3 linked regions of the Sus scrofa genome follow. The protein of the gene in region 1 interacts with the protein of each later gene in a pairwise test. Links are inferred from orthologs where the notes say so. Each region holds a gene or a part of one and is shown in the gene's direction. Other genes may lie near its edges.

Region 1 (3,511 bases):
GTATGATGTAGCGACCAAACCGGGTGCTTGTGAAAGCAGAAGAGGGGACCGTAAGATGAAATCTGTGCGGATTCAAGCCCTCCTTAGCCTCGCTGATTTCTCCAGCTTAAGAGCAGGTGCCTGAGAAGATGTGCCCGAACATCTGAGAGTAGGTTTACTCGTTCTCTGCTGGGGGTGATTTTATCCTTCAGGGATGTCTGCCAGCGTCTGATGTTTTTAGTGGCCAGTTTGGGGTTGGGGCTGCTATTGGTAGCTCGTTGGCCAAGAATGCTGCTAAAACATCCTACAGTAAGTACACAGATATATTAGAATATAAATAAATACATAGGGCTGCCATAGCAGAGTGCCACAGTTTAAGTGGCTTAAAAAATAGAAAATTATTTTTTTCGCAGTTCTGGAGGCTATAAAAGTCTAAGATCAATGTTTTTGGCAGGGTTGTCTGTAAAGGCCCCCATCTCCACGTACAGTCATATTCTAAGGTGCAGGGCCAGGGGAGGGTAGGGCTTCAGCATCTGAGTTTGCGAGGGGGGACACAGTCCAGCCCATAACAGCCCACCCCACACCTGCCCCTCTCGAGAGGAGCCGAGTCCCAGCATGAAGAGTGATGAGAACTTCACGCAATGGCTTGAGAGACCTGGTTCGGTGACCCTCTTGTGTGTTCTCACTTTGCGTGACCCTGTCTCCCACACTCCCCTGCTGAGCTCTAAGCTCCCTGAGGGCCCAGGCTTGGATGCTTCGTCTAGAATCCTCAGTGCCTAGAACAGTGTTAAGATCTGGAACAAATGTGGGCTCCCAGGGGGCGGTTCCTTTGAGTGGTTTGCTGCTGTGTCCCTGGTGAGAAGTCCAGTGTCTGGCAGGCGTAGCGCTGAAGTGGGTGTTTGCTGGATGAAAGGGGTGAATCCAGAAGCTCCTCCTTGGCCGGTGAACCGTCCACTTAAAAACCTGGAGCTGCCTCATGACCCTCATTCTCCCCCTTGGCCCTGCTCTCCCTTCTGCCCTCACTGGGCTCCTTCAGCCCCTGCCCTGCCCTCCCCATCTTCACTTGTCGCAAGGTGCAGGTTGTCGAGCAGCTGCCCCCCTTCCTGTGGTGCCAGGCCCGTCCAGCTAGCTGTCTGCTCCGTGCAGGGTCTGTCAGCCTTTCCTCCGAGCTGCTGGTGCAAGAGGTTTGAAGGGAGGGCAGGGTTTTGGGGCGGGGGCTGCCACGTGCTTTGATCTCTTTGGGGGTTACCCTGGGGTGAGCAGGTTCTGGAACAGAGCCGTTTAATTTTTTGTGTCTCTCTCTATATGTGCGCGTTGTTTTTTGTCGGATCCTCAGAGAGATGTGACTTTGACGACCAGCGGTTTCTCTAGCGTGGTGGTTCTCTGTGTGGTGGAACTGCCACCTGGAGGGCTCGAGGCACAGCCTGCTGGGCCCCACCCCTCAGAGGTTCCAATTCAGGTTTGGATGGGGTCTGAGGATAACATTTCCAACAAGCTAATGCTGCTGCTGGTTCAGGCACTACACTCTGAACCACCCCGGAAGCAGGCATCCAGTGGTGCCCGGTGGAGGGAGGACCTATGAGTTGTGAGGCATCGAGGTGCAGCACGAGGCGTGCTGGGTGGGCAGGGAAACAGGATCCCTTGGGTCATGCCCAGGTGCAGCCCTTCTGGGTGCGGTTCCTCCTGAGGCACCGCGAGGCTCCGGCCCTAGTGTGATCCTACGGAATCGGCCGCCCGGCGCTCTGACGGCGCTTTCTGTGCTCTCCCTATGCAGCGGCCTTAGCTGTGGTGGGAGTGCAGTGAGTTTGGTGTCCAGTGGGCCTGGGGGAGAACAAGCCCTAAAGCTGTGACCTTTACGGGTATAGCCTGGCTGGTTGTTTGCCCATAATTTCCTTTCATTGAGTCACTCCCAGCGTGATTTTTTTTTTTCTTTTTTTCTTTTTTAGGAGTAAAAAGTTCCCCTTCTGTTTGTACTGCCTTCTTTCACACGAGCGCCACTTTGTCCAAAGAGGATTATTACCAGATATTAGGAGTACCCCGAAGTGCCAGCCAGAAGGAGATCAAGAAGGCCTATTACCAGGTCTGTATGGAAGCCAGATTTTAGAGGCAAGATTTCAGAAGGTACACTTTCAGTCTAGTCCGATCCTGAGCAGTGCAAGGCGTATGCCCGTAAATGTAGGTTGCGTGCAGCTGACAGTGTGGAAGCAGATGATAAAAATGGGCTTTGCTGGGCTGTGTTCCTCGAGCGCGGGAAGCCATGCTGGTTAATGCTTCAGAACCAGAGAGTTTAAAAAATCTTTTTCCAGGGCTGCTGTTTTTGTTTTGTTTTGTTGTCTTTTTGCCTTTTCTAGGGTCACTTCCGAGGCATATGGAGGTTCCCAGGCTAGGGGTCTAATCAGAGCTATAGCTGCTGGCCTGCACCAGAGTCACAGCAACTCGGGATCTGAGCCATGTCTGCAAGCTACACCACAGCTCACAGCAACACCGGATCCTTAACCCACTGAGCAAGGCCAGGGATCGAACTTGCAACCTCATGGTTCCTAGTCAGATTCGTTAACCACTGTGCCACGACGGGAACTCCCAGGGCTGCTTTTGTACTTAAATTTATTCTGCATCTTCTGAAACTGTGGTGTGGTGGTCCAAGTCTTATTTTGGGTAGTCATTCTTTGCATTCAGATAAAAGTTCATGGATTTAGAATTTTTTCTTAACCTAGAAAATGTGAAATTCCCATCGTCATATCCCAGAATGTATTGGGCTGATTGGTACAGTGGCATGTGACTTATCTAGATCTGTGGGTTCCAGACTTTTGCTCTGATCAATAAAGTAAAAGTTAAAGACTGTGAGCTCTGACGTAGGAATGCTAGCTTTCGTATTTTGCCTACTGTGGATGTTAAAAATGATCACATTTAATCTGTTAATGTCATGTGATGAAAGAAAGAGCACCTTAACACTATAGAAAGAGGAAAGATGTGTTCTTCTCTGACTCAGTGGATTAGGGATCTGGCATCATCACTTCATTGGCTTGCAGTTGCTGCTGTGGCACAGGTTCTGTCTCTGGCCCCAGAATTTGGGCATGCGACAGATGCGCCCCTGCTCCCCCCAAAAGGGGAAGCTATAATAGAATAAAGATGATTAAAATTTAATAAAAATTAATAAAATTTGAATTTAAAAATTATGTTTATGGAAAATTTGCTCTAAGAATCCTGATTTTTTCCCCCCTTTTTTTGGCCACACCTCAGGCACGTGGAAGTTCTTGGGCCAGGCAGGGATTGAACCCCTGCCACAGTGGTGACCTGCGCCACAGCTGCGATGCCAGATCCTTAACCTGCTGTGCCACACTGGAACATCCTTTTTTTCCTTTTTTAAAAAAGTTTTTGTGGACAAGGAAAAACTTTGTCTAAGCCTAATATTAGTGAATCAAATACTGATCATGACCAGACCTAACAACAGCTTAAAGTTTGGATAGCTATTCCCTCTTCTTAGTTTTTCTTTTAAACCTGGAATTCACTGGGTTTTACTACATCAGCAGGG
Region 2 (3,947 bases), on another chromosome or scaffold:
GCAGCTGCCAGCCTACACCACAGCCCACAGCAACACCAGATCCTTAACCCATAGGATTGAACAAAGCCAGGGACTGAACCTGCATCCTCATGGATACTAGTCGGGTTAGTTACCGCTGAGCCACAACAGAACTCCTGTCACATAGTTGATTTGACACGTGCAAAGCAAAGGCTCTACTTTTCTTCAGTGATTGCAGGCTCCCCTTACTCTGTAGTAACACTTAGGCTCATGAATTTCACAGACGACTCTCTGACCTATCTCTACAGGTACACATCTGACTCTTACTTCTTGTCTCCCAGAATTCAGACTCTCTTGAACAGAGTAGGCTGCAGAAATTATTCATCCTCACAGAGTTGAGACCCCGTCAACCAGATTTGCGCATTTTTACAGAACCCTGAGACCCCTTGTGCTACTTTGCAAGTCCCACAGACCTCCCCCATTAAGGCAAATACACGCGCTAACGCAGACGGCTTCACTAAGAGGCTCAAGTTCCGCAGGCTGCTCACACCAGCGCAAAAGCTTGAGAGGGCCTCATTCAGGCTCGGCGCCTTCAGGCTAACGCTTTGACCCTGGCTCTGGCTCCCCACCTCCAGCCTAATCCGGTCAGCCTAGGCCTCACACAGAGGGCACATGCCCCGCCCATCTAAACCTGTCATCACAGAAGCCGCACGTGGCCGGGGTGGGACCTCAGGCGACCTGCAGCCATCACTTTGTCTCCTCCACCATCCATTGGGACCACCACCACCAATCAGAGCCAGCGGTTCCCGGCTGGAGAGCGGGCGCCGGGGTGAGGCTAGTGGGAGAAGGGGCGGGGGGAGAAGAGGCTCAGAGATCTGAGGGGGCTAGCGTTGGAAAGGAGCTTGGCACCGGTTCTGCCAGGCTGGAATCCGAGTGGGCGGGTCCTAGTGACAAGCAAGGAGACCAAAAAGGGGCGGGGATTGGAGGGGACGACGGGCAAGCAGTGTTCAATGGGGAGACGCCGAGAAGACGAGAAGGGGCGGGGCCTTAGAGGGGGCGGGACCTGTATTACAGGGGAGGAGCCCCAGGAATTACAGAAACTAGGAAAAAGGACAAGCGGGGTGGGGGGGGAAGGTGGGAGGTGGGACAGGGGGAGGGTGGGTCTTGTCGTTGCGGGGGCGGGGCTCGCACCAAAGGGGCGAGGTTTGCCGGAGGAGGCTGCAGCTGGGGCAGCTGTGTAACTGCCCCAATCCACTACCTCCCCAGGTGCAGCGGGACTCACGGAACTGCAGGTGTGGGGTGGGGTGCGTGTGGAAGAAGGGACAAGGACCGGGGTGCGCTTGGGCAGACATGAGGAGGTGGGGATCGCTTTAGGGAAGGAGAGAATTGGGAGAAATGCTGGGGTAGGGTGGAGTAAAGCAGAGTTAGGGGAGGAGCTGGGGCTCACTGTGTGGGCTAGGAGGTGCATTCTCCGGTAGCCCTTGTGGGGGAGGGGCGGGAGTGCTTTGTGAGGGTGGGAAGTACTAGGTAGGGGGTGAAGTCTTTATCTTGAAGTGGAGGGTTGGAGAAGATACTTGAGGAGGAGGGACTCTGAAGGAGCTTAGGGGGAAAGGGAAGAGGGGGTGTTGTGTGATGGAGAAGGGCTGGTGGTCCAGAGTGTGGGAGGGACAGATGGCCTGTGTGGAGGAAGAAGGGATGGGGCTGTGGGCACTCTGCGAAGGGAAGGGGTTGCAGGCCCCAGCTGGGGAGGGAAGAACCCCTAGTGCTTTGAGAAAGTGTGGGGGCATTATAGAGATTCCAGGAAGATGTTTGTGTCCTGTGTTTTAGGAATGAGGGTGATGAAATTGCTGGGGTGAAGAAGCCCGTCTGCAGTGCTCCTGGCTCCTCAACTCCTAACTCCACCTTCAGGCCTGAGCACTCTTAGAGAGGATCTAGGCCCCACTTGCCACTAGGGCTTGTGCGACCTTCTCAGGCAGCTCTGGATCTGTCTGGCTGAGTCTGGGTTTTTTGGTTTCTTTTTTTCCCCCTTCGTTGGTGTCTCTGGGGACCCTTCCCCCATTCTGTTCCTGTTAACCCCCCACTCTAGTTCCTGTTCCTTCTAGAAGCTTGCCTTGGTCCCTGTCTTCCCCCACCTCCCCCACTTTGCTCTGCCCTTATGTTCTGGGTGTGCTCATTTCCCACTTCCTTCCTCGCCCTGGGGCCTGGCCCGGTCCTTGCATGTCTAGGAGCTGTGCCTGCCCCAGACTTTGTACTCAGTGGCCAGAGACCTAATAATTAGCAGCAAGGCCCAGACCCCACCCTCACTACTACCAAGGTCTTTCCCAGCAGGCCCCCAAGTGAATGGTAGACACATTTTTACCACTTGCCACAAATGAAATTTCCCCACACTTTTCCTTCTCCTGGGTAGGTAACATTGCGACCGTCAAAAATTCTGGGTGTCTGTAGGAGGGGAAAATAATAAGTACTAAGGGTCTTTGATGCATGTTTGGAGAGGTGGGTCACTATTGTCATTTGAACTTGAGAAGGGATGTGAGGTTGCAGCCTCTGCTGGGGGAGGAAGAAGGAATGGCTCCCCATACTCCTGACCTGGAAGCTGACTGTCAAAACTGAGACTAGGGCCTAGTCCACTTGGGGGCTCCTCTGGTTCCCTGAGGGGACCTGGTGTAGGGCCAGAGTTCATTTTGCCCCTGGGCTGGCTGGGACAGGGTGGGAAAGCCCTGTTTTCCACACAGTGGCTGAATGAGTGTGACAGTGTTGCTGAAAGGGGCCCCAAGCCAGCCTCCTCTGGCTGAGAGACGGGTTGGTGGGGAGGAGGGGGTGCTGAGGCCAGACAAAGCCTTGGGGTAGGGTGGGGTAAAGGAGGGCAGGCTGAAGCCTTTTGAGGAGGAGCTGATTGCTATGGCAACACAGCTTCCCAGTCTGTCTCTCAGAGAGGCGGGCCTAGGGCAGACTCACTCCAGCTTCCTCTGGACTAAGGCATTCGTGTGAGTGGGTGGGGCATGAAGAGAAAGAGCATCAGTTTGCTGTGCAGAGGCTGGAGTATATGGCCTTTCTGCTTCAGAACGATCAGCGGAGCTTTCAGATGCTTGGACTCATCCTCTGGAAATGGATTTGAGTGAACAATAGCCATTAGAATCATAGCAATATAAGGTCAGAGCTGTAGAGGCTCTCAATGGTCATCATTTATACAAACTCATTTTACAGATTTGGAAATGAACAGAGACTGAGATTTTCTCCAGATCTCATAGTGAATGAACAGGTGTTAGAACCCAGGTCTCCTGATTGCTGTTCACTCAGCTCAGGGCTCATTGTTTCTTTCAACTAGAGTTTACTGAGCACCTATTTTGTGCCAAACACCGATGCTGATTCTGAGAGTACCAGCACGAATAAAACAGACAAAGTTGCTGCTCTCATGGAGCTTCCATTTTAATAGGGAAAGAAAGAAGTGTGTGTGTGTGTGTGTGTGTGTAGGGGGGCAAGCAGGAGAGGGAGAGAAGAGGAAAGAGAGAAATGATGTCTGGTGATAACTGCTATGAAAAAAAAAAAATAGGAGTTCCCGTCATGGCACAGTGGTTAATGAATCTGATTAGGAACCATGAGGTTGCGGGTTCGATCCCTGGCCTTGCTCAGTGGGTTAACGATCCGGCGTTGCCGTGAGCTGTGGTGTAGGTTGCAGACGCAGCTCGGATCCCATGTTGCTGTGGCTCTGGTGTAGGCCAGTGGCTACAGCTCCAATTAGACCCCTAGCCTGGGAACCTCCATATGCCACGAGAGCGGCCCAATAAATGGCAAGAAAGACAAAAAAAATAAATAAATAAAAATTAAAAAAAAAAAAATAAAGCAGGAGAATTTAGAGCAGCTACTTAAAGCCTCTTGATTGTACCATGCTGCTTGCTTTCCCAGAGCACACTGAGACCTAGAACATCTATGATCCTTCCCCCTAAACTGCTGCCCCATGGTCTTTGCAAATAATTAAGTCCTAGGCCTGT
Region 3 (4,106 bases), on another chromosome or scaffold:
CCTCTGCCCTTTGACCACACCCCCTACCCCTAGCTCAGAAGCGCGGCCTCAGCCCCTGACCGCGCCTGCGCAAAGCGGGCAGGTTGGCGGGACGCTCTAAAGCCCTTCACCCTTCCGGGAGGAGGAGGGGAAGAGGTGTACGCAGGCGCGGTAGTCTAAAGCCCGGCCCAATTATGGCACTGAGGGCATCTCCGCGCCCTGGCGGCTCCTCCCAACTCCGGGAACCCGGGAAAACTTGTGAACTAATCAGAAAAAGCGGAAGGCGGGAGATCGGAGACCCTCCCAGCGCGTCGCCCAATGGAGAGAAGGAGGGCAAAAGAGATGGCCAATCAGAAACGGCACGGGGGGCGGGCTCTCTCGGCGCGAAGTTCAGACCCGGGAATTCCGAAGGCGGGGTCGGTACTGCCCGCGCGCGGAGACGGCGCCCCTCCTGGCCCCGGCTTCCTCGCTGTCAAACAGCCGCTGGAGCACCAGCCCTGGCCGGAGCCTGAGAGATCCTGAGCTGCCGCACAGGCTGGCACTGCCCGGAGAGGGGACCGCTTCGAGACTGCACCTCGCGGTAGATAAGAATCTGGATTGCGGCGGGGAGGGAAAAGGCTGGGTTTCCCTCGCATGATCCCGGGAAGCCCTATCCTGTCTTTAATCCCACCTGGAGAAGTCGGGAAGCAGGGGTTTAGATCCGCTTTGTTAGAGAACATAGAGACCCATTTGCACTGCCTTTGGAGGGATGACAGTGGATAGACTTCCCACGGGGGTTTAAGCTATCTAGTTATGAGTGAGGGGTTGGCCAGAAGAGCGAGGCGCAGGCTAGCAGGTGGGTTACTCTGTTTGGATTAGCAGAATTGACAGGAAACTTCTCCAAATTACACTGAGGTGACAAGTTAGTATCACACAGAAGCAGGACCCCAGTCCTCCCCCCTTGCAATTCGCATATTCCCCAGAAGCTGCCTAACGTATTGTTGCCTGGCACAGACTTGAAGGCTCCCGGAATATTCTGCAGCCTGAGGATCTGATTCAACTTCGTGCCATAGGACATCTTCGTCTTTGCACTATACTGGGACCCTCACGAAATTTTTCAGTTGGAAAACTGTTGACAGCCAATCTTGCATCGAATCCTAGGCCCTTGCACTCTGAATTTACACTATTCGGGGAGCGTGCCCAAGGTTGAGATTGCACAAAGCACAGTTCAACTCTGCATCAGAGGGAAAGAGAACTTAGGCCAGCTGTGCATGGCCCAGGATTGGGAAGTGATGGATTCCTGAAGTGGAAGAGGTGGTGCAGAGGGGGCACCGCCCATGCTGCCCTGCTTCCAGCTGCTGCGCATAGGGGGCGGCAGGGGTGTCGACCTTTACACCTTCCACCCCCCAAGTGGGGCTGGCTGCACCTACCGCTTGGGCTGCAGGGCCGACCTGTGTGATGTGGCCCTGCGGCCCCAGCAGGAGCCCGGCTTCATCTCGGAAGTCCACGCGGAGCTGCACGCTGAGCGCCGGGGTGATGACTGGAGGGTCAGCCTGGAGGACCATAGCAGCCAAGGTGAGGAGTGAGCAGAGCAGCCTTATGCCTGGGCAATGGCAGTTCTGGGCTGCAAAGTCTCCACAGGGACCATTGCCTGCCTTCCACCCAATCTCCCCTTTGGGCTGGCTGGATGGTTATCACCCAGACCTGTCCTCCCACCAGAAATGTGCAGTGTCAGAAGCTCTTTGTGGAGCTGACCTTGTTTAGCTCATTCAGGGGCGGGAGCATCATCAGAGAAGTATCGCAGTGGGTTGTCCTGGGGCCAAGCTCAGACTTGACCAAGTTTCCAGACTTGTTCCCAAGTTGGCACCTTGTTCTTGGCTTAGGGCAGTTACATGTTGAATTGTTTTAATGATCTGAACCTATGTCTTACTCCTTTGACTCGGAGGCAATTACAGTCTCAGAAGGCCTGGGTTCACATCTGAGTGGTGCCACTGACCCCCGGCAGCGTCCCTCAGGCCTGTCACTTCACCTTTCTAGGTATTAGTTTCCTCCTAGGTAAACTATAAGCCTTTCTTAGGTCTGTTTTGGTTGGGAATGTTGTGAGGATTGGATAACTAGTGGCCAAGATGCACCTAGTGCTTACTGTTACAAGCCAGAACTGTCCTAAATGCACTAAATGTAGGTGAGCACAAATATCCCCACTTTCCAGACAAGGAAAATGAGGCACAAAAGTTGTCCAGGGCCACATGGCTGGTTAAGTAGTGGAGCTTGGATTTGAACCTAGACAATCTGAACTATGCGGATAGGTGTTGAGGCGGAGCTGGGTGAGTGAGCATCTCTGAGAATCAGACCTCAGTAGATTGAGGGAAGGAGCTTTTTCCCTCCATGCCTCCAGTGGGAGGGCATAAGAAACAAAAATTTGTTCCCAGTTCACAAAGAGCTTGCTATCTGGTGTTACCTGCGAAGGGACTTAGAACATGAGAACTGGATAACAGATGCAATGTTCTTCCTCGTGTTCCCCAGAAAATCAAACAGGACCAGATCTCTCCACTTCTGACCCACCATTTGTTTCTGTCGTTCTGTCTGGTGTCCCACCACCAACAGGGACTTTGGTCAATAATGTCCGACTCCCAAGGGGTCACAGGCTGGAGTTGAGTGATGGTGACCTTCTGACCTTTGGCCCTGAAGGGCCCCCAGGAACCAGCCCCTCAGAGTTCTACATGTTTCAGCAAGTCCGAGTCAAACCTCAAGATTTTGCTGCCATCACCATCCCACGGTCCAGGGGAGAAGAGGGAGAAACCAGAGCTGGTTTCCGGCCTATGCTGCCCTCCCAAGGGGCCCCCCAGCGCCCCCTCAGCACCCTCTCCCCCACCCCCAAAGCCACCCTGATCCTCAACTCCATCGGCAGCCTCAGCAAGCTCCACTTGCAGCCGCTCACATTCTCTCGGAGTGGGAGTGGGCCGCAGAATCCACCCGTTTCCACGACTCCTGGGGAAGTGAGGACCACCCCTTCGGCCCCACCCCCAAGAAACCGGAGGAAATCCGCTCACCGCGTGTTGGCAGAACTGGACGATGAGAGAGAGGCTCCCGAGAGCCTCCCACCCGTGCTTATAGAGCCCAGGAAGAAACTGCTCCGTGTAGAGAAAACCCCACCGACACCCAGTGGGTAAGTGGAGAGAACTCCATCTCATCATTTCACTGCCTTTTAACTCCTTTTTAGAGCCCTAGACTGGGAGGCGGCTCTGCCCGGGGGATAGAGACCAGAGGTGGACCTTGGGATCGCAAGACCTGGGTTGGTTCTGCTCGGCAGATTCTAGTGAATCCATATAGGTTCACTTTGATTACCCAGGGGAAAGTTCTAAGTTTCTGCAGGTTTCCAGTGACCCTAGTTTTTGTGTCACTTTCTTCAGAAATCGTCGTGGGCGTCCTCGGAAGCACCCAGTGAGCATCCCCAGGGCTCCCCCAGCAGCTGGGGGCGGGGAGCCCTGTGCAGCCCCCTGTTGCTGCCTACCCCAAGAAGAGACAGTAGCTTGGGTTCAGTGTGATGGTTGTGACACCTGGTTCCATGTGGCCTGTGTTGGCTGCAGCATCCAGGCTGCCAAGGAAGCTGACTTCCGGTGCCCAGGCTGCCGTGTAGGCATCCAGAGCTAGGGCGGCCACCAACACCAGAGGACAGAGCCGGCACCTCCAGGCCATGGGGGGACAGGGAGTCCTAAGAGATGCCTTCTTCTTCCCTTGCCTTCCCCTGGGGTGGTGGGGGGATGAGTACAGAGGAAGGGTCCATTGCTATGGATTATCAATTCAAGGCCCTTGTAGCCAAGGTGACAGAAGAGATGGTTTCCTGCCAAAGATACTGCTGCCTCCAGGAAGTTGCCAGTGAGCTGGAAATCCCCACTGTTATAAGCTGTTGTGGGTCCTTGTCATGGACACTAGAATGTGTGGTCAGGAGCATTCGACTGCAGAGGGCCTGCCTGGGAGGGTGGCAGCCCCAGACTTGAGCAAGCAAGATCTTAATGGCAGCACCTAGCCTTCCTTACCTTGTGGATAGTCCTGCCACTGACCATGACTGTGACCTGACTTTTCAGAGCTTTGCTTCCATTTCCGAATAAAGAATGAGCAGCTTCATACACTCCAAGGTGCTTGCTCTT

Evidence for each region. The genes of interacting proteins can lie anywhere in the genome.
Region 2: the proteins of DNAJA3 (region 1) and FAM214B interact in binary tests that used the Homo sapiens proteins (3 or more experiments, as listed by UniProt). The link is inferred for Sus scrofa from reciprocal best matches to the Homo sapiens genes DNAJA3 and ATOSB.
Region 3: the proteins of DNAJA3 (region 1) and TCF19 interact in a two-hybrid assay, tested with the Homo sapiens proteins (2 studies listed by BioGRID and IntAct). The two-hybrid records come from large-scale screens. The link is inferred for Sus scrofa from reciprocal best matches to the Homo sapiens genes DNAJA3 and TCF19.

Annotation. Positions count from the first base shown.
Region 1 is NC_010445.4:37,912,605-37,916,115, reverse strand, and holds part of DNAJA3 (dnaJ homolog subfamily A member 3, mitochondrial), read left to right. Parts: intron 1-1,925; coding exon 1,926-2,059; intron 2,060-3,511. UniProt on the Homo sapiens protein: Modulates apoptotic signal transduction or effector structures within the mitochondrial matrix. Affect cytochrome C release from the mitochondria and caspase 3 activation, but not caspase 8 activation.
Region 2 is NC_010443.5:235,904,332-235,908,278, reverse strand, and holds the start of FAM214B (protein FAM214B), read left to right. Parts: upstream 1-1,136; 5' UTR 1,137-1,224; exon of another isoform or gene 1,225-1,250; intron 1,251-3,750; exon of another isoform or gene 3,751-3,947. UniProt on the Homo sapiens protein: Transcription regulator that may syncronize transcriptional and translational programs.
Region 3 is NC_010449.5:23,557,982-23,562,087, forward strand, and holds TCF19 (transcription factor 19), read left to right. Parts: upstream 1-1,295; coding exon 1,296-1,533; intron 1,534-2,481; coding exon of another isoform or gene 2,482-2,562; coding exon 2,563-3,124; intron 3,125-3,368; coding exon 3,369-3,609; 3' UTR 3,610-4,093; downstream 4,094-4,106. UniProt on the Homo sapiens protein: Potential transcription factor that may play a role in the regulation of genes involved in cell cycle G1/S transition. May bind to regulatory elements of genes, including the promoter of the transcription factor FOXO1.